Linked DNA regions of Schizosaccharomyces pombe. Changing the gene in region 2 together with the main gene of any one other region gives a genetic interaction. Each region holds a gene or a part of one and is shown on either strand. Other genes may lie near its edges. The genes, in order: atg2, vps1 and atg4.

The links.
Region 1: mutations in vps1 (region 2) and atg2 impair growth when combined (synthetic growth defect), as found in Schizosaccharomyces pombe (one study listed by BioGRID).
Region 3: mutations in vps1 (region 2) and atg4 impair growth when combined (synthetic growth defect), as found in Schizosaccharomyces pombe (one study listed by BioGRID).

Annotation. Positions count from the first base shown.
Region 1 is NC_003423.3:232,558-242,333, forward strand, and holds atg2 (autophagy-associated protein Atg2), read right to left. Parts: upstream 7,043-9,776; 5' UTR 6,957-7,042; coding exon 2,037-6,956; exon of another isoform or gene 1,967-2,036; coding exon 1,946-1,966; 3' UTR 1,920-1,945; downstream 1-1,919. Other genes in the region: gnd1 (phosphogluconate dehydrogenase), read left to right, coding at 1-504; SPOM_SPBC660.17C (uncharacterized protein), read right to left, coding at 1,077-1,513, 1,610-1,691; P-type calcium transport ATPase Pmr1, read right to left, coding at 7,813-9,776.
Region 2 is NC_003424.3:1,996,274-2,003,467, forward strand, and holds vps1 (dynamin family protein Vps1), read right to left. Parts: upstream 3,143-7,194; 5' UTR 3,070-3,142; coding exon 2,977-3,069; exon of another isoform or gene 2,926-2,976; coding exon 982-2,925; 3' UTR 501-981; downstream 1-500. Other genes in the region: Swr1 complex/NuA4 histone acetyltransferase complex subunit Swc4, read right to left, coding at 52-140, 205-410; poly(A) polymerase Cid16, read left to right, coding at 4,712-7,194.
Region 3 is NC_003424.3:4,894,332-4,900,513, forward strand, and holds atg4 (Atg8 deconjugator Atg4), read left to right. Parts: upstream 1-3,688; 5' UTR 3,689-3,809; coding exon 3,810-4,234; intron 4,235-4,417; coding exon 4,418-4,955; 3' UTR 4,956-5,681; downstream 5,682-6,182. Other genes in the region: rbd4 (rhomboid family protease ), read right to left, coding at 1-74, 118-183, 289-505, 556-742; SPOM_SPAC19B12.07C (zinc finger protein), read right to left, coding at 1,444-1,753, 1,794-2,009, 2,079-2,512. UniProt on the Schizosaccharomyces pombe protein: Cysteine protease that plays a key role in cytoplasm to vacuole transport (Cvt) and autophagy by mediating both proteolytic activation and delipidation of atg8.

The DNA.
Region 1 (9,776 bases), on a different chromosome or scaffold from region 2:
GAAGATGCCTTGTACGCTTCCAAGATTATCTCTTATGCTCAAGGTTTCATGCTTATGCGTGAGGCTGCTAAGGAGTACGGCTGGAAGCTTAACAACGCCGGTATCGCTTTGATGTGGCGTGGTGGTTGTATTATCCGTTCCGTCTTCCTTAAGGATATCACTGAGGCTTTCCGTGAGGATCCTAACCTCGAGTCTATCCTTTTCCATCCTTTCTTCACTAATGGTGTTGAAAAGGCTCAAGCTGGTTGGCGTAGAGTTGTTGCCCAAGCCGCTATGTTGGGCATTCCAGTCCCTGCCACTTCTACCGGTCTTTCCTTCTACGACGGTTATCGTAGTGCTGTTTTGCCTGCTAACTTATTGCAAGCTCAACGTGACTACTTTGGTGCCCATACTTTCCGTGTTTTGCCTGAAGCTGCTGATAAGAGCTTACCTGCTGACAAGGATATCCACATTAACTGGACCGGTCACGGTGGTAACATCAGTGCTACTACCTATGATGCTTAGATGTCTTAATGACAACTACGTTTAGCTTTTGTTTTAGTAACTTTACGTTAAAAATTATTACTCTGTTTATATGACAATTTACAATTTGATATCCTAAAATACCTATTTTATTTGGGTTGGAAGATACCTTGTTTATTAAATTGAAGTTTTTGAAATCAAGTTGAATTACCTCGCGCGTTCATAGTTTTTTGCATACATATAACATTCCTTTTGTAAAACAAATACTTTAGGTAATCTGCCTAATTTTGTAGTAAAGATAATCATAAAATTTCTGTTCTTTGGCATTGAGAATCTGCTACTAAATGAATAAATGAATGTGGTATTCACAGCAACCCGTGTATAAAGTTAGCAAGCCATTGAATGCTGCCTTCAAACATCATAAATCCGTAATAAAAAGCATTCAGCATTAAACAACAGTTACTTTTTTTAATAGATCATAATCATAATAATATACAACTTTTAAGGCAAACAAGCGTCTCGTATGAACAGAATGGTCGTATAATTTCACATAATTGAAGAGACGATCCATAGACCACAACAAAGTTACATCGTACTTTAATTACTCGCAGCTTTTACATATGAGCAAAACGCATCTCATCTAATTTTTCGACGCTAAGCGTTGAATGATACATAGAATAGCGTGCAATCTCCGTAAAAATTGTGATGCCACAGACCAAGGTACGAATATTTAAGAAGGCGTAGAAAAAACTCGTATGCTGAGACCAACCAAGCACGGTAATCAAAGCTGTAACTCCAATATTCAGTATAAATAGAAACTTCCATTTGTTAGGAGTCTTAGGATTAAACAGACCAACCTCTAACGGTAAAAAGTACATCACATATGCACAGTAGAAAAGACTCAACAGCTCCACTAACTTAAAAGCCCAATATTCAGGATACAAAAACAGCGGTACTATTAAAAGCAAGTAGAGGAACGAAAAGATAATAGAAAACATTCGATTATCCCGATTGTTAGTCAAACGTAGTTGTTCAACGAAAGCATCTTGATCTACGAAATAGATATGTTAGAGAGTACATTATGTTATTAAAAAGCATATACATAGAAACTCAAACTCCTATATTTAACCTTACAAAATTAGCATACCTTGTTCATTCAAGAAAACCGGCTCGAAATCATCATCATCATTGTTAGTAAAGCGAACAACCCTTTTTCGTAATTGTTCCATTATTCATCTTTTCTATTTGGGTAAATAGCCGACAAATTGTGTTTACTATATTTGCCCCAGGACTAGCAAGGTGGAACTAGGTAAAGACAAACGATACTGGTAGCGGTAACCAGTATAGTGCGTAGCAAAATCGAACACACTGCCCAAAATGAGATTCAAATAATCATATCAAGTAGAGTGTTCGAACACAAAGAGTAAAAAAGTCCTTCGTCTTTTACCTTAGGGATTTTCAATACTTTCTAGGCATATAAATTTCAACCAGGCCGTTTGTATTTCTATAGAATTGTTAGCGTTGATCGTTTTATAAGGAAAGATAACTCAGGCTGTTGATGTCAATAAACTTACTTCTCGCATATCCTGTCTTCTCTGTGGTTGCAGCGAATTCGATAAGCCTAATAGCGTTTTAGAAACAGCCTCAGTGGCTCCAATCATGGGCTGTAGAACAATTAATGGCACTTTTCTACCTACTGTTTGAGCAACACCACCAAGGGATTTATGGCTGCGGGTCTCTCGAGGAAGACCCATCAAAGTGGATTTGGCACCGAGTAATCCCTGTTTCAAACCAGAATAACCTTGTCTCAACCCTTGCTCTATTGTTTCAGGTTGTTCAGCGTAATAACTTCTGGCTCTGGACGCAGATGCAGAAGCATTGCTTCCTCTTTCTAAATAACTTTCGGCTTGACGAAGAAGAGAATGCGTACCGGTAGCACCTTGCGCATTTAAAGACAGAAAGTCGTTCACGTACTTTTCAGTAAATTTAATTATACCATGCCGGAAACTACCGACTGAATGGTTTCCTTGCAAGCCCCGAACTGGACTTACAAAAATGTCTTTAATGCCTCTTCCTACAGTAAACATTGTTCGAATCGGCACTACACCATTCAGAACTTTTGAGAGTTGATTGTTTCGGATATCTTGCAACCAAACGTTAAGAAGGGCATTAAGGAATTCTTCTGCACCAGAAAGTCCATAAATTTGTAATTGACGCAAGAAAACCTCCGAACCTTGCATAACAATCAAGCTGCCTAAATCAGGAAGCTTTCCGCTTCTCAATCCTACCTTATCAGCTGATTTGAATTTAAAATCGATAGTTACATGAGTAGCATTTATGCAGATGGATTGAAAAAACGGTAGATCAGGTTCGGTGTTTAACGTTTCAGAGGAACTAGGAGTTTGAAAAGTAAGAAAACGTATTAAAAAATCCAAAGTATCTTGGTCAATATACATTTTACAAGGCAGAACGCTAAATTCCAACCTCAATTCTCTGTTATTTAGTTCAGGTAACGGTCGCACAGTAACAATTTGAGCATTCATGTGCTGATTACGATTCTTGGAAGACGGAGATCTGGAATCTCGTCCAAAAAATTTATTCCAGGTTGAGGTTGATAGATGGTCATATATAATTAAGTCCTTCAGACCAATATCTAAATCGTTCAGTACTGCGTTAGGTTCATTACTGTCAGCATATACAGTAAAAGAGCCCTGTAAATCTTTAATTTCTATTCCAATCTTTTTGCTTTTTGACTTCCCCAAGCGTAAATGGTACGAAATAGATTTCGATAAATAATCAGCAAATTCATCAGAATCGATTGGTTCAGATACATGATTGATATTTAATCTTCCCACTTTCGAAAAAGACTTGATGACTATGCTTTGAAACAATAAGGTTTTCGCTTCAGGAGAAATTTTATCATTTTGACTAGAAGAATCGCATAGTTTTTCGATAGCTGAGCTGATAGTTGCTCGAGTAGCTTCCCAATCATAACCATCATGCAAATCCCAGTTCACGTTGATATCTTTAAATTTTACTTTTAAGAGATAATTTTTTCCTTCTACAGAAGATTCAAGCTTTGAAGTGCTTTGACTTAAGTAATAATCCTCAATAAGCTCTATACCCTTTTTTAAGGAGTCTCGGGAACTCGATTCATCTTGAAGTTCATCGGAAATATCGATAATTGATGACGAACCATCATCTATTACAAATTCCTCGGACGAAACAGATGCCAAATCACTGGCATGAGTGGAGTGTTCGTTTGAAGAAATATAATAATCGTCTACGATTTTAATTTCTTGCGAAGATATATCATTGTCAGAAGATACTAGCACCGTACTCTGTTCAGTAGGATTGGACTTGTAATCTATGCCACGATTTTCAAAAAAGTTGTAGTCAACTTCGGTCAAGGATTTTGCATAGTCTTCAATAGGGAGAGCCAAATAGCAATCCGATATTTCTTCATCTTCAGTTGATCCTAAATCAGACAAAACTTTAATCAACAACTCGGTGCTATCCGCACAAGATTGTACTTGTGCATCGAGGTTATCAACAGTTATCAAGGTAGAAAAAACCCCTTCCTCAGCATTGACAACTAATGACAATGTCAAATTTTTTAGCTGAGATATTTCAACATAACCCAAAGATTTAACAACAAATTCGATAGTATCTTTTATCGAGAGTCCAGGGAAATGGAGGGAAGAGTTAAGAATTTCACGTTTTAACACAGAAGTCTTTCCTTCCAAAACGCTTTGGTTCAATTTGTCAATAATGTATACTACCGTTTCAGCTGCCATGATACGAATGTTTAATGGATTTGAAGCGACAAGTGCATCAATTTCAACATCAAGTGACTTCAAATATAGTAATAACTTCGCCTCAAGCGTCCTAGGATTCAGACCTATTATTGACTCTCTAAGGTCCAACTTAATATTAAATGGAAAATCAGGAAATGCTAAGAATGGAACTTCAGGATCCTGAGGAAAGTAGGTTTTTAATAAATCCGAAATCCAAGGGCATGTAGGGTAGTGCTCATATCCAAGATCAGTTATTTTGACAAATATGGTATTATCATTAGATCCTGATGATCTTTTAAGGGCATAGCTAAAATCAGCATTTAATAAATACTTTTCATCATTTCTTAAGTTCCTTATAAAAGAAACGACTGGTAAAATTTCTAAAGACTCAGATAAGTATTCCGCAGAAACATTATAAAGTCGTAAACTCAATGAAATTAATTGTGCACCAGCCCAACACATGTAATGCTTAATTCGAATGCATTTGAGAGCAAAAGAGCTGCCATCATCATTTAATAAAGATAACGAGAATGTTCTGGTGCGGATTTTTAATACGTTTTTGTAATCTGAAGTCACCAACTTATTAGGTGTAACTGGAGTTACCAAAGAGGAAGCAATAGTTTCATATAAAGTTTTGAAAAGTCGAACGACCTCCTTGCTAATGAAAACATTAAAGTTATCGACTGCAAAATAAAAATGCTTTTCTGGATAGGAAAACTCGGTTGGCGCAGGCTGAAATACTGGATAGTAATGCTTTTCCTGCTGTATAGAAACTGCAAAATTGGAAGTCCCGGTAGTGTCATGAGTTTCAAATAAACTATTAGAAAGGTGAAAAGCAGTAGATGATGACACCTTGGTCCAATCAGAATTTTCACAATTGAATAACTCTGACTGGCATCCGATTTTTTTTACAAATATCAATACAGATGAAAGAGACCCTGTAGATTTTCTTGTAAATTGCAAGTGAGATACTCTCAAAGTAAGTTTGTATAATGATTGAGTTGAAAGTTCATTCAATATTTGAAGTTGAAGCTCATCAAAGAGTGCAATAATCTCAAAACTCGGTTGATTCATTTCCACCTCAAAGGGTTTGGGCGCCTCAAAGGTTTCTTGAATTGACCGTTTAAATGGATCTGAATTTGACAGGAAATTTTGCAGATTGGATATATCATTAGTAAACTCCACGAACGATTCTTGAAGTAATAAGGCCTTTCCAAGAGGTAAAGAAATTTCTCCCCCAGGAATGTGTATGAATAAGGACACTATTCGTTCAAGCTTTTTAAAAATCAGCGAGCATGGTGATTGCAGACTTTTACCAAAAGACACCAGTGTAACAGAATCCATAAAAATATCTAAATCAGAGAAAGTCATCGTTAGTTCATCAATATCATTATTGTCATTAAAGATTTGAATTTGATTAATTTTCATTTCAAAAACAGCTCCATTTGAGGGGATGGTATGTAGCAATTCATCAACATCATTATGCATAGAAAAATCCTGAGATTCGGGGAGTTTACAGTGGGTAAGGATTTGTACAGAAGATATGTGGATATCAAGTTGTAACATAGTAAGAGGCGGTTTATTTGAAGAAAATCCAGGGGTGGAAGGAGCAGGTAAAAAATACCCGTAGAGATATAACAGAAACGCAATGACTTGTGAGTTAATATTAAGAACACATGAAGGGACGTGAGACTCAATAACCAATAAGTTAGAGGACTCAATACTGAAAACAAGCCTAAATTCGCCAGAACATTGAAAAATTAACCAGCTAGTCCTTGTTTTTTTCTGAGTAACAGAATCGTGGACAGAGTAAAATGATTCTTCTTCTCTATTTGAGCTTATTATTGATGATTCATTTAGTGTGACCTGTGATGGCGATAGATCATTCTCAAAGCCCTCTACTATACTAGAAGAGGAATCCATCGATACAAATGACTCTTCAGATCGAGGAGGAGAAGATGATCCTGCGTTACTCTTGCTTATGGGCCGAACCATGGATACTGTTATGCCATTAATATTGAGTAATCGAGATGTAGAGTTACTTTTAACCGACGAAAAGCTCATAAAATCTAGTTTTGCTTCCAACCTAGTAGACATATTTGCAGTCCCTATGTAAACTAAAGCGTCTTGCATAAGGACAGAGGTAGATGCCAAACATTTTTGCAATATACTATCCAATAAATTATGTGAAGAGCCATCAATTTCAGATTCTAATCCCTCGTTGATCACCTCATCTTCAAAGTCTTGCGATGCTGTTTTATTCATATATTCAACAACATTATCCAATATATCAAGCTGTGATGGAGCATCCTCATATGTAGTTGAGCTTAAGGATTCATCAGGAGGTACTAGTTCAATTTCCAAACTTAAGCCATTGACTTCTAATTCAACGTTTAAATTTACAATATCAGTAACATTCAGTCTTAAAATTAATCTCCTCAACGTTCCTTTAGTAAAATTAATCATTGGAAGAGACACCACTGCATTCAGAAAGGAACAATTTAGCTGTAAATTGGACAACATTAGGACCCCTTTTGAAAAAAGGATGTCTATATCCTCAGGCTGCACATTTTCTAAAAGAATGGATCCAATAAGCTTTCTCAAGGCAAATGCTAATAGTCGACGTTGAACAGTCCTTGATAACGCCGCCGTCCAGAGCCAAGAGGAAGAATTTTTAAGCCATGAGGGTAACCTCATCATCCTCCTTTGCTTAATTGAATTTCGGGTTCAAATTTGTGTCTATCTCACACTTATTTGCCTCATTCAGATTTTGGTAGTGGGACGACAAATATGCGACGATAGCGTTGATGTACACGAAATAAAAACAATAATGCCAACATCTTGTGACAATCTAATGAATGGAAAATTTACTCATTGAAGACCAAACGTTAATGACAAGAAAAATTACTTAAGGCGAGTCGGTCACATGAATCAACTGTTCAATAAACATGTATAAACTGACTTTGAAACAGCACAAGATATAATGATACAAAAACAATTTAGAGCAACGCGGCTGTTTAATCTCGTATAATTTTTCTTTTGCATTAATTAAATGATGAAAAGCGACAACCGATTTTAAAACCTTTAATTTTGATAAGCCTTTATTATTTGTTTCTATATAGAAACTACAACTAATATGTTTTAGATTAACCTTTAGTCAGAATAAAATCATATAATTTGGTTTTAAGACTAACCAGTGAGGACTGCATCAAGGTGATGAATAATAAAGCCTGAACATACTAAGTGCTTGAAAATTAACCAAGATACAGGATTTTCGAAAAAAAAAACTGAAATGAAAAGTAACGATGAAAGCTTTTAAACGAATGGTATAGACTCGAGTACTTCATGGCAGAGAAGCAAACCCCTTTTGTGCCATAAGAATAAGAAACCAGCGGAAAGCTAATAATCATTAGTCAAAAAATTAATAAAATACAGGAATTTTTTAAATACATATAGCATTGGAATTTTGTATTCACAAAATAATAGTAAAGCTCCTTAAGTAATTTTAAACTTAGCACAAAGATATGCAACTTGTTACCGCAAAACGTATCATTTATACATTCCTTAGCAGATAATTGCTCTTTGTTCTAACAAGACCTTTACGGCGACGATACCATTTGCGAATTTCGTCAACCCAGAGAACAGAACTGGTACAAGCTAACAATATTAGAACATCTTTAAGTCCAATAGCTTCAGTTTGAAAAATACGCTGAAAGGGGGAAGCATAAACTACCAAGGCTTGACCAATTAATGAGCCTCCGACTGCGATATTGAACATTCTATTAGAGAAAATACCAAGCTTGAAAACCGATTTTGTTTCGGAACGACATGCTAAAGCATTAAACATATCGAAGAAAACAAAACAAGTAAAAGTCATAGTAGTATCTCTAGCTGTTACATTGCCGTCTTGCATTTGTACTCTAAATACCACAATAGTGACAGTAACTATTATAAATGCACTGAGTAAAACACGTTGTAAAAGCTGAACTGATATAATAGGAGCATTCCTTGGACGAGGAGGTTTCATCATCACGTCTTCATCAACTGACTCTACTCCGAGACTTTGTGCAGGGGGTCCATCCATTAGAATATTGATCCAAAGAATTTGCATGGCATTGAGGGGATTTTGGAAGCCGAAAACAGACGAAATGGCGATTAATGAAAGAGCAGCCACACTCGTAGACAATTGGAAAGTAATGAAATTTTTAATGTTATTGAATATTCCCTTACCTTCCTCAACAGCACTCAAAATAGTCGCAAAAGAATCATCGGTAAGAATCATATCAGCCGCTTCTTTGGCAACATCCGTACCTTGTCGACCCATTGCTATACCAATGTCTGCAAGTTTGAGGGCAGGTGCATCGTTTACGCCATCACCAGTCATAGCCACAACATCACCAAGGCTTTGAAGGGCTTCAACAATTTTCATTTTATGTTGAGGTGTAGTTCTTGCAAAGACTACTACACGGGAAACGGCATCACGTAAAGAGGAAGAATCAAGATCATCTAACTGAGCTCCAGTCAGCGCATAGTTACGAATTGCTTCTTCGTCATTACTAGGAATAGCCATACCCAAACTTCTAGCGATGCTTATTGCAGTAACAACGCTATCACCTGTAATCATAATAACTCGAACCCCTCCAGTCATTAGATATTGTACACTTTCGCGGACTTGGGGTCGAGGGGGATCGTTGATGCCAAAAAGACCATGAAATACAAGTTTATTGGTATTTATACCACTGGCAACAGCTATAATTCTGAGTCCCGAAGCAGCCATTTCAAACTCGTTACGTTGAATGTTCTCCTTCATTTCCGCAGTAAGCTCGTGTTGAACACCATCCTGATCGCTAAAATATGCACAACTTGACAGCACTTGTTCAGTGGCTCCCTTCATGAAATTCATTTTGCTAGAGTTGTATTGGACAGCAACAGACATGTATTTGCGCTCACTGCTAAATGAAACCTCAGATATACGACTGTACGTTTCACGAGGATCCTTCAACCCGAATCGCTCAGAACATTCGATTAAAGCGACATCAACTGGAAATCCAGCCCAGGGACAAGTAGTGTCCAAAATAGAATCAGCTTTGTTATGAACTTTACTATTGTTGCATAAAGCAGCAGCTAGAAGTGCCTTTTCGATACCAACAGTGCGCCTAACACTTAGCTCTATATGTTCACTTTCTGGTAAGGAGAAAGCTGCTAACATTCCACATGTATAAATTTTAGTAACTGTCATATGGTTCATTGTTAGAGTACCAGTCTTGTCCGAACAAATAACGTTAACACTTCCCAAAGTTTCAACACTGGGTAACCGACGGATAATAGCCCTCTTCTTAGACATGCGTAACACGCCTAAAGCAAGGGTGACTGTTACGATAATTGGAAGACCTTCAGGAATAGCGGCGACAGCCAAACTAACTCCAATTGTAAGCATTTCTAACCAATTTTTACCTTGGAAAAAACCAACAAGCACAATGACGGCAATACCAATTAAAGAGATTAAAGAGAGTTGCT
Region 2 (7,194 bases):
CAGTTTAGGTTAGTTTAACCAAGCGCTTATCAAATAAAATTTCAAACATACAGGCTTCAGAATCTACTTCTGATTTAAGGACCCAATGATGCAAAGTAAAATCATCCTTACGGCTTGATATGGAAAAGGGCTGGCGTACCCTACAAATTAGTAAATTCCTTACTGAATACACAAATTTATTTATTTGAGCTCTGATTTACTCACCAATTTTTAGCTTTGTGACTAACTTTTGGTTTTTCCTTAAATTTCTTTTGGTATATTGCTAACGGGGCAGAATTCTCGCCTAGCAATGAATAAAGTTCTCGAGAAATTCCTTCTGGCCTTCTCTCTGTTGGAGTTTTAGATTTCTGCTTATTTCCTATTTCAGGAGGAGGTAATTCAAAGACATCCCGAATGTCAGCACTAGTCATTGTATTTTGAACTGAATTTTCTCATCAGTGTACGAATAAAACGCCGACACTTCAAATGTGGTTTTCTTTTAAAAAACGTTAGACTACAGTATTTATTTAGCATAACACTGCGTACTCAATTGTCCTATTTTTTAAGGAGATTTTAGAGTGCACTTGCAATTTTGTAATTCAGGAAATATGGGAATAAAGTAGTATTGATAGAGTAGTTATTTAATAAAAAAAAATAACCAACTTGAGATAACACCATATCGGCGTTAAATATAATCTAAATGTAACTGAAAAACTTTTATAAAAACTTCATTGAGTCTTCCTAACGCTACATTCGGGAAATCTTTATTTAAAGACACTACAACCCTAGGAAAACATAAGTATCGATTTAACGAAAGTTTCGATTTTAAGCGAGCAACTTCACATGATTGTTCATGTAAAGACAAGAATATATGCGATGAAAAGTGCGTGACGAAAAATAAAAAACAAGGATCTTTAAAGCAATTAAGACATTCATCGATATGAGATCATCTCATAAGGTAACTTAACCTCGTTATTTTAGCAGTTTGTTATCATTATATCATTAAACGTTAGACACAATCTCACTTGCCTGTAGGAGAGATTCTACCATTTGTTCGCATTCTTTACGACGTTGCACTGTCACTTCGCTTTCCTGGAGTAATTTATCGAACGCCTGAGACTTGTAAAGCTGCTCAAGCAACTCGTGCTGAATGTGCTCTTTAGAGTATTTTATCATTTTCAAAGAAATGGATTTAGGTACCATATCGGCCAATGTCCTTTTAACAATGTTGAAATAGGACATAATAAGTAGTTTAATAACTTCAGTATCAGTCTTTTCGCGGTCTGAGAGAGTAGTAGAAGCTCTTAAAACCGGTGGAGGAGGCTCCATAGCTGCAAGTCGCTTTTTATTCTTAGAACCAAAAAAGCTTCCAAAGAAATTCTGTCCCGAAGATGATGAAGTTTCAACTGGAGGAACGGGGTTATTTGTAAGTGCTTTTCCAGTTTTAGGGTCAACGGGTATCGGCTTACTATTCTGACTTTGAACAATCGCCATTGCTTGATGTCCAGATAAAAAGTCTGGATGAACAGTGTTTATATAAGAACCTTCCATGGCAACCATATCCATTACAAGGGTATTAGTGGGTTGCATACATTTTCTAAAGAAACCAATAACAACCTTGTAAAATTCATCTTTCAAAAGAGGATAACGTTTAAATATGGGACGTTGAAGCAATTGATTTAAAATACGGACAAGTTCGTCGTAAATGAGGGAAACACACTTCAAGGAAGGATCCTCCAAACGCTTAATTTGTTGCTTGACAATAACTTCAAATGCAGCAGTACCCATAAATAAACTAGGAGAAGGGCCAGATGAATTGTACAAAATGGTGCGAATATCCGAATCCTTAACTTCATCAAATGGATCAATTGCTTGAATACCATTCGAAAAAATTTCATGAAATACGAACGCAATACGAGCTCCTCCTGAAAGCTCCGTAGCAGAAAGCTCTTCACTACGGCCGTCCACAACTGTGCGATATTCGTTGCAAAAGTCAGTAATTAAATTTAGTACAATACTGGAGTTGTCGCCAACAGGAGTGTCCCCCAAAGAATGTAGTTCGGCCTGATATTTGGCTAAAGCAGCGTTAATACGAACTTTAATTTCGGGAAGGGTGTTCCGAATATGGTGCATCAATATCATATTTAGTTTACGAGCTAGAAATGGAGTACCGCAGTATTGCGCTTTAGAACCATAGGAAGGATGCGTTTCAAAAAAGTTCCTTTCTGCCTCAAGAGCTATACGAATAGACTTCTTCCCTTCGATGTCCTTTTGACCGCGATTTATGACTGGAACATACCCAAGTCTCAATGGAATAACACGTCCAGCTAGAATATCTACCACATCCGTACCTTTATCCATTAAATCAACCTTGGTCAATACACCGATAGTGCGAAGACCTTCGGGGTCAACTTCTCTAGCAAGTTTGAGACCATCTGAGTTTGCCAAATCAGTATTGGCAGCGTTTACAGCCAATATAATGGCATTGTTTTTAGATATATACTTCAAAACCATTTCACGAATTTGCTTTTCAATATCTCGAGGTTGGTCACCAACCGGTACCTTTGTAAGACCAGGTAAATCTACTAGTGTCAGAGTAAGCACATGAGGAGAGTAAATACGAAGATAGATAGGAACCGAAGAAATGCCAACATTCTTTCCTGTTTTTTCTTCTGTTTCTCTAACGATTTCTTCACGAATCTTTTCAAACTCAAAGAACTTTTGTCCGGGAAGATGGAGGAATTCTCCCCATTCAGATGAATTATTCTGGTCCTTTCCATCTGAATCAGTAGTTGTTTCTTCATTTTTTCCACTAGCGCTAGGTCTATTAATTAACTGCAGAACCAAAGGACGCCTTGTTACAATGCCGGTTCCTCTAGGAAGGAAATCTCTCCCAACAATATTTTCTAAAACCGATGATTTACCGCTTGACTGTGACCGTACGACCTAACAATTTATTAGTGAATTTTTCAATCTAAGTTAAAATTCACAACATACAGTAATCTGTGGTAAGTCAATCAAGTTTTGAACGCCAACTGTGGAGAAAGCCTCCTGAAGTTGATTGACAACTTTAATCAATGAGGGATCCATTATCAACTATGGATCCACTAAATAGACAATTTTACGAATGGGCGGTTACAAACCTGATGGTATGTGCTGTGGTAGTGTAGTGTTTACTCGGATATGTCGAATAAAATTAGTACCTCGCTAATCGGATTTCAGTAAGGCTGCTTGAAGGTGGCTTAACAATATCGTGTTGCTAATTGATTTACCAAAAAAGAAACAGTGATGCCCTTGAAACGTTGTTGTCAGACTTTAGACAATAAATCTAATGTTTAACCCTCGATAAGTAATATTAAAGCGATGCATCATTCCATATTTAACGAACGATAATATACTAATATTGCGTTTTACTACGTTGCGTATCACTATATGCCCTGTGTTGGAATAACAGGAAAGATCCTTTTAATGATAATTGCGAAATGCTATTTATCTTAATACAAAGTTACCCATTGATACTTGAGTACTGAAAAAATTAACGGAAACTGCTTTAACCTTGTTTTTCAGTACAATTATAAGCTATTCTGCTGATAAGTAAAAATAGTACCTATTTACGAGAATCTTTATAATATAGTACGCGTTTTGCTGCGTACCGTAATATTGTATATTTCAAATAAAACTACCACCACAGTTTTAAAAATTGGTTACATTACGCGTAGCTGACAGTGCTCAATACGCTAGTTTATTCAAAAACGAGTTTTAGTTCAGTAGGAAAAGGGAATGGACTTTATAGAAACAGCAATTTTTGCTAATTATTCTCTGTTTTGCTGCTGATTAGAAGTCGACAAGTGTGTTCAATTTGCACATGCCATTGGACAAATTTTAGCAATCACCTTAGCGTCAAACAATTTATGCTTTTTGTTGGAAAAAAACCAATAACAATTGGGACCTTTTTAGCAATAAATGGAAGCGAATTTCATAGTGGATAATATCTCTAATTTTTATCAAAGCATATTAATATACCATATGCAAACTTACAAATAGAGAAACATATGAAGTCTTGGTTCTTGACTCCAAAACTAAATAATACTAGCATTCCAAAAGTTAGTTATCAAAATAAATGGTTGTATAACTCGTGGAGTAGTTTGTCAAAATCTTACACATTTTGCTTCGTTTCTTGACACCTCTATCGTATACAAATGCCAAATCAATATCTTTGATATCTTGTAAATAATTTTTTGTCAATAAAATTACAATTTTTACAAATTTGTTACTAAACAGGATGCAAATTTGGGTTAACTATAAAATCCAACTTCTCTGTATTCGGCATACTGTTAGGTTTATACATGAACGGCATACATGTAAAACCCAAATTTTTAAGCAAATGCTACGACGCATAGGTTGCTTCATGCTCTAGCGAGCGTTTAATAAGAGACTGGAAGATTGGTACTCCTCCTAGGATCACTTACTCCATAACCATACCAATGCACTACTTACTCAATGTCTTCAACATAAATTTAGTATACATGTCTTTTTTAAGTCAATAAAACAAAACTGTCTTAATGTGCTCGTTGAAGAAAATTCGACAAATTATTTATTCTTTCAAAGGTTTCGTTAATTAATGTTTCAATCGTTTAAAAGCGGCATACCCTTTATTTATTCTGTGATCCTTAATTAAAAGCAAAGCCTAAAAAGAATTTTTACTTTTTTATTTAAAAATATCACTCGTGAAATGCTATTTGCCAAATTATTGTTAAAACCTGTACAAATTTTGTTTGCTTACGCAAAGGCCAAGAGCAAAGAAATTTCAATTAAAGAGGCTAATCTACTAATATTCCAAGATGAAACTGACAATTTGAGGAAAATTTCTACCCCTAATAAGTTGGCTGTTTCTCTAGCTGGGGGATTGAAAGCACTTCTGAGCTCCAACCAATTGTGCCATGCTTTTCATTACCATAACAAGAAGATCAGACTAGTTGATACATCATTAAATAATTTGCCGGTACCAATCTTACTTCCAAAATTGATTAATTATTTATTAGCTAGAAAATCTCAAAAAAGCGCTGCAGAGTGGGAAGAAATAGAACGTGCACTGTTATCATGCTGCAAAAGGTCCAAAGACCCGTCGATTCTTTTTCCAACTGATGTCCCTTGTTCACTGGATGACGATGTTAGCTTCCTCACATTCAAAGGACATAAAAACCACTTAGAAAATCGATCATTTTTTCATGATAGCGAAAGTGATAATTTTAAAGTAGTACTTTCTAATTGTGCCATCAATTCGAAAGAAGACAACAATCTTGTCACCGAAGATCGAGTGAATTTGGGAGCCAAGTTGCTTCTGGTACCAGTCCAGAATCTCATTAAACTATTGAAAGTATCTAAAATTAGTGTGGATCTTGCAGTTATTGATCATTCATTTCAAGATCAAAAATTAACTCTCGAGGTTGGTAACGGTGGATTGGAAGTTGTCAAACTCTTTGGAGGTTGGATTAGAATACTTGAGTCCGAATGTTTAGGACATGTCTTCTCCTTTAAGAAGACTATGAAAAGGAAGGAGGTCGCTTTAGTAAACAGAAAGGCCGATATTGATACTACTGATTTGTTTATTGCTTTGCGCCAACTAGTTGATTCAAAGTTTAAATCATACGGCATAAAAGCTCAAAAACATGCAATTAATAGGATCAGTAAGCTAGGAAAAATGATAACTTCAAACCATGCGGAAGAAAAATTAACTACAATACCAATAACCGAAGCCAAAAAGGAATCTGTTTCTAACACAGCTCTCATCGCCAGGAAAAATATTATTAGGGAAAGAAAATATTTATCACGGATGTTCGACATTTTTGAGCATATAGATAGCTATTTCAACCATGAGATAAATATGCTACTTGTTGATTTGCTCCTGGAGCCTTTACAAGTAGCATTTGTATATAAAAATTTAGCAAGGCGTTGGATTTCGTTGGAGGAGATTGAAAACTTATGGCTCAAAGTTTTTGACTCTTCGCACCCTTTAGGAAAATCAATTACCAGTACCCTTCAAGCTATAGGTACCAGGAAAATATTAACGCAATTATCAATTAACATGATACCGAGATACAATCAAGATAACTGTTCTGCTGGTGATATATATATACTATGTTTTTCAGAGAACTGCTGGCTTTATTCCGTATTGCAAAAGACTATTGACCATTGGGTGAATGAAAATGTTGAGCTTTTTTATAAAAAATTTGAGATACTTAAGTCATTATTGATTGAGGATATAGCAAATTCAACATTCTCTAAGGAAGTTTCCTTGAATTCTTCGCTCCGCTGGTACTGTGTTGCTATATTAGTTACACCCTTGCAACTTATCATTAATCATCTAAAGGATAAAACTGAAATGCTTTCATTAGATGCTGTCATGACTTTAATTTTGGGTAAAAACACAAGGGAGGTGAATTCTTCTATAGAAGAGTTAAAAATTACTGATTGTTTATCGTTTCTCCTTGAACATAATATTTTTAATACTTTTTTGGTATACAATGAAGGAATTGTGAAATTGAATAAAGACTTCGATGATTTTACTCCCCTTAATTTATTAAAATGTGTCAACTATTCTTTAATGGAATTTCAGAAAAACTCAACTTTTGATATGTTAGAAAAACTTTATGAAATAGGACGGGAAATTGATATGTCAAAATTTTCAACACTTAAATATAACCTTCAATTACCAAATGTTGACTTATTGAAGGAATCGGAAGCTGTTTCAGAAACCAAGAACACTAAAAACAATACCTTTATTTTAAAATCTGACCTCAAAGAAGAAGAGAGGCTGACTAACTTTACTATCGAAGAAATTAATAAACACAAAGCCATAGGAGTCGCTCTTCGAAAGCTTCTGGAAGAAGCAGACACCAGTTCAAATTTTTCGTCATCAAACAATCACGTATTAGACTCTTCAAAACATACGGTTTCCTCTGCCTCGACTAGCAGCAGAAAATTCATCGAAAATTACAAAAGTTTAGAATCGATTGGTCTAACTTCTTTCGTAAAAGATAATAAACTTAAGGCTTCAAAGGAGTTGCAGAAATTAATAGAGGAAAATGTTTTTCCAAAAAACCTGATCTTATTCATATTTAGAAAATGCGTGATTGGTATTAAGTCATTTGAAAAACTCCAAAGCTATGTCTTTACATACTATTGTGAAAGATACCCCAAGCTAATATTAAAAAG
Region 3 (6,182 bases), 2.9 Mb from region 2:
AAAAATCTAACGGAAGTCCTAAGACAGGAGCTACTAAAGCTAATGCCATCCTTACGACTTGAGGAAGATTCAAACTAAAATATTGTTAATTATAACGTTGAATAAGTACAGTCATACAGTTTGGGATGCAAATCTCCAAAAAGATTCAAGAGATACATAGCCAGAAGCGAATAAACCCAACCACTAAAAACATTAGCATGTATATCCAAGAAAAGAATTTTAAGGTGAAAAAGTTAGATATAAATTTTCAAACAATTTAATATCATTTATGAGAGACAAAAAACATACCCAATACCAACATAGACATCGTCAGACTCAGCAACATAGCAAGCTATTAAGTATGCAATGGCAGGAATTACTTCCAAAAATCCAAAAAACATGGCGATTGTACATAATGTTCCGTATCTGCGTTCAAAACGTGGCATAAGAAGAAAAATTCCTAAAAGTCCTAAAATGAAAGAAATTACTCCATGATGAACGAGCGGATATGTGTTTAGGGTATGAACTGCGTACTTTGTCAGTTTGTTTCAGGAATATATATTTATTCTAACATACGGCGAATGTTTATTAAATTATGCCAGCTTAGGCCAAAAAAGTCAACGATAGGCAAGAAAATGTTTACGATTCCAAGAATGATAGTTAACAGGGCAACAATCACAGTGAAGAGTGGAATTTTCATAAGGAAAAGTTCCGCTAAAAATCCGACCGATGTCGAAATACGTTCTCCTAGTTCAATGGCCATGCTATTTATTAATTAAGTTACACCTTTTACCTTCTCTCGGTAATAATTCGTCTAAAATATTCCCTTTTTAAAAAAGTTTTAGGAATATTGACTTTGTTGGTTTATAGCAAGGTAAAGTAAGCGCTGGTTATACCAGCCAAGGTGTATATGAAAGTCAATCGCAATACAAGTTCGACTAACCAATTATTTTTCAAGGGAAAATATTGAGTTTTATATAATTTTACATACAATGACTATTAAGAATTTCCATCTGCTAAAGATAAAGGTAGTAATTAATCACAGTTTTGCAAATAATCGCAATCGAGTGAAGTAAACAGCAAATATAATTATTATGATTAATTGAAATAAGATTCATTGTAAGTAGAATTATATAAAGCAAATCTAGCAAACAGTAAACAGGGTGTTCATTTTTATGAAAATACAGACAAATAATTCCGTTAAATATATAAAGACAGCCTAAAACAATAAAACTAGGTAGAACCTTTTATACATACATTAAGTCAAATAAATAATTCGTGTCTTCAACTTCACATTCAAATCTTTCTCAGCGACCAGTGTAGGTGTTATCTATATTATAACCGTTTTTTTAAATATCTTTCCCTCTTATTAATGTCTTTACGAGACTTCAGGAAACTATGCCTTAAATTGTTAAGTGATTTATTTAAATACATAACAAGAGGATAATGTTAGGAAACATCAAACTAAAGTCGAGGGTCCTCAATCACCTCACTTAAGCAAATTATTAAAGCATCGTCTGGCACTACAGGAATCAACCATCCAGGCTCTTTCCAAAAACTATCTGTTTCAGCTGGAATAGACTTCTTTTTAGTTTTCCGGGAATAATTTATCACCCTTATGGCCCCATAAACGTCCAAGCTGTAATCCTTTTGAATTTTCTTGATATCCCAATCGTGAACGATTTTGCAATGTTCAAAACAAAAAACTGGTTCATAGAAATTAGTGCAAAATATACATTCCACAGATAATGGTTCTGCATCCTCATCATTTATACTGTAAAATGTTAAAAAAAAAGGAATATTTGAATACATACTCAGATATAGTATCATCAGTTTCATTTATGTCTTCATTAATTGCAAACTGTGAATGCGAAATGGTGATACTTTTTGTAACAGAAGCATAATTTATAATATAGAACTCATCGTATTCTGACGATTTTGGGTCAAGCCGGAAATGCCGCTTGTTATTCATGTGTTCTCGTAAAAGCTTTTTATTTTTGCAAGGGACATGACAGCATAGACATCTAAAACTTATCAAACGATGTTAGAATATGACGGAAAGAAGTAATAACACAAATAAAACTGATAAATATGATTACCTTTCTAGTTCATTCTTTATCTTTTCAAGTAACCGATTTATGTAAACAATATTGTCTGCTAATCCGATATTAAGCCCGTGAACGTGAAAACTATGTTCAAACCATTCTTGACGGTTTAAAAGACCTTCATTATTACAGAACAAACATTGTAAGGATTTTATTTTTCCCTCTCTCCGTTCTTTTTGCTGTTGCCTTAAGACTCGTTTAAGTGAATTTTCTTGAGCAATTTGTAGTAAAAGTATTTCTTGGTCTTTCAAATTTGGATTCTGGTTGAGCTCATTGGCAATCTCTGATGCGCATAAATAAGCATTCTTAGCTAACGTCTGTACTGACGAATTGTGTATAGTTGTAAGGTGGCTTATAAAAGAAATCGAGTCACCAGCAAATTCACAATCAAAAGGGCATCGAATTATTATAGCATCGTCGGAACTCATTCTAGTCGGTGTTCTTGAAATTCATTGAAGTTGCCCAATGACCAAGTGTCTTAATTTTTATTCTTTTAAGATATATTAAACAGTTTCAAGTCTAAGTAATGCGGAATTCAATAAATAATAATTTACTTCTTTAGTTTTAGTCCCTTCTTCCTTAGATCACCGATAATATCGTATGGATATGCATAGAATAGGCCAAGTTATCCAGCAGTGAGGCTAAAATTACACATTGCGTTAATCAACTTTAAAATTATGAGAATAATGTAGTAACAAAAAAGGATAATTAAAACGAGTTCTCTAAAAAATATTTATAGTACTGACTACTATCGAGCATTTCTACTTTTAAAAAGCACATTTAAAAGATATCACTCTTATGTGGATTCTGTATCTTTTTTAAACTGTAATTGTTGGTAATATCTTTAAAATGAAAACATATATCGCATGGAAAGCTACTAATTCATGTCCTTTATTTTGAACAAATATCAATCGATAATATTTTTGTCTCTAGACTCAAAACTGTTCATTTATTCGTTTGCTCGGTGATGGAGCAAGCCTGAACTTCATTTACTACGGAGATTTTTGCGTTGCTCCAGTTATTGTATCACATTATTTACTTTTCGTATAATAAAGCAGGTCGTAAGTACTTATCGTAGTTTAACGTAATATTATGTAAGCTACGCAGTTTGGTATCTGATTTAAGGATACGTAGAACTGCGGTGAGTTTTCCTTGTGGTCTATTATATTACAATACACAGGTTGTATAAGTAGCAACTGAGTATAGGTATTGTATTAACTGGATTATAATGTTACCTATCACTAATATAGCTCATAACTGAACTGAGGAACGAGGTTCAGTTGTAACGCTATTTATAATATTTCTAAATAGTTGTTATCAACGGGTATCTATGTATATAGACGGATAGTTACCCGTGATTATCAATAAACGGATCTTAGCTAGTATTCCAACATATGACATATAGTGATACGCAACGTAGTGTATCATAGCGTAGTGTAGTATTGCTGACATATTAAAGTTAATTAAAATATTTGAAACAATTCCACAAAATCATTTACGAATACTAAGGTGTTTGTAAAGTTATTTAGCAGACCATAGTAGTACTCGCAAACATGACTTCACTCCCACCATATCTTATCCCAAACACTATATTAATCAAGTTAGCCTTTGCTTAGTCTAAAGGGGGTGTATGTACGCTTTCATGTGAACATCTGACGACGTGAAGTTTGGTTTAAATATTTTGAGAAAAAATAAAGGTAATAGAAAAAAATTTCAAAAAGGGGAATGGAGCTTATGGCTCGCTTTCTAGAGCGATATTTACATTTTGCACCGACAAACACCGAGCCTCCAGGGACATTAATTTGGTTTTTAGGACATTCTTACAAAATTGAAGATAGCCAATGGCCTGAAAAATTTTTATACGACTCATTCTCTCTTATTACAATCACTTATCGTAGTGGTATTGAAGGGCTTGAAAATATGACATCTGACACCGGTTGGGGTTGTATGATTCGATCCACTCAGACACTATTAGCAAATTGTTTACGAATCTGCTATCCTGAAAAACAATTGAAAGAAATATTGGCACTATTTGCTGATGAGCCTTCAGCCCCTTTTTCTATCCATCAATTTGTTACAATGGGCAAAACTTTGTGCGATATTAATCCAGGGCAATGGTTTGGACCTACAACATCTTGTTCTTGTGTTGCGTAAGTGTTTCTTGTTATTTAAATTGAGTTTTCTGGTCGATAAAAGAACAATTGATCTCTTCACATAGTTCGAATTTCTTCCGTTCTTTTTTATCCTTTTTAAAAAAAAGAAGAAAAATTTTGAACGTTTTATTTTTTTTTTGGAATTCAGTCAGTATGACATTTACTAACTTTTTGTTAAAGTCGATTAAGTGATCAGAACCCGGACGTCCCATTACACGTTTATGTTGCCAGGAATGGAAATGCTATATACCGAGATCAACTTTCAAAGGTCTCCTTTCCTGTTTTACTTTTAATTCCTACCCGTTTAGGAATTGATTCAATTAATGAATCATACTACGATCAGTTGCTTCAGGTGTTTGAAATTCGTTCATTTGTTGGCATCACTGGAGGTCGTCCAAGGTCTGCTCATTACTTTTATGCAAGACAAAATCAGTACTTTTTTTATCTGGATCCTCATTGTACTCACTTTGCTCACACTACCACCCAGCCTGCTTCCGAGGAAACTTTTCATAGTGCTACTTTACGAAGAGTAGCAATACAAGATCTTGATCCCTGTATGATCTTTGGGTTCTTAATTCGAGATGAAGAAGAATGGCATTCATTTGAAGCGAATCAAAAATATTTTGCCGACATAGTTCAGATTTTCGACTCCGAACCTCAACCAGTCGAGACACATGATGATTTCGTTTTGGATGAGAATGTTGAAGATCATCTTTAATCCATTGTTTACTACTGTTTCAAGTTTTATTTATAAATTTGAAATTATAATACTAACGACTTCGCATTTATGACATATGTAATTATGAACTGACCCTAGTAGCATTTACGCTTTGGGTTTAGTAACTTAATGAATAATTATTTATCCAACGTTTTTCAAGGAAATTTATTATCCCGGTTTCTTGAATTCCTTCTCCATCCCAAATCGGCTAAAGGGATATTTTTTTAATCGTTAAGCGTTTAGTTGTGCTTGTGCTATTATTTGGTCAGTGTTTCCCTTCTATTCAACCGGTCTCCTTATTGTTAATTTCATGCTTTATCTTTGAAAACTGTTAAACAATGAGTCTGTTTGATTTTTTATTAAATGTGCGTATTTGAAATGGATGTTTATGTGTTATATTTCGTGAGGATTTTGTTCTTGTTTTTAATGTCTCTTTGTTACGCTTTTCTTTTCATCTGATGTTCTTCCCTGTGAGTAAATTTCAAAAACTTATATTATACAATGTGCATTACTAAGATGATTGGACAGCAATCTCAGAATTTCTCATTTCTTTGCTTTTGCTTACCTGAGATAAATATTGTGATCTTCTCAAATGCCCTTTCCTGAGCTACTTAGCTTAAAGTTATTTAAGTAATAATAAATTAAAGCATATTCTTTTTTTTTTATTACGGGTATTCTGATCGAGCCTTTTCTCTATTTTAGTATATCAGTTAAACTAAAGAGTAAATATGGGCAAAAATTTTAGTAATACGGTTCATTCGTAACGATAGAATACTTAAAACCTTTTTCACCTGAATTTATAAATCTTTATTAATAATAATGATATATTAAAGAGTAGAATACCACTTTTTTCTTTAAGTTCCTCGTAACATTGATAAACATTATCACTTGTCTAATAATACCTCAATATTTAGCTGCTATTATCACGTCATAAATGAGGGCTCGCTTAACTACAAATAGAGTGAGGACGAAGATCTTTCTGGTTGTTTGCTGCTATAAATATGTTTTAAAAGCTAGAAAATAGTAAAAAATTAAGAAAAACTTACTTCTGTTTAGTCAAGTTTACAATTTCGTACAAGAAGTATTTCAATGCCTGTTTTTGTTAAAAAAATTAGGAAACCTGGTTACTAATAATAACGAGTTGCTTCCTAAATTCGTTATTGCTTTTAGCGAATTTCAAAACGAAGGATGTGTCTTTTTTCTACAGATAGAAAACCCATCTCATTC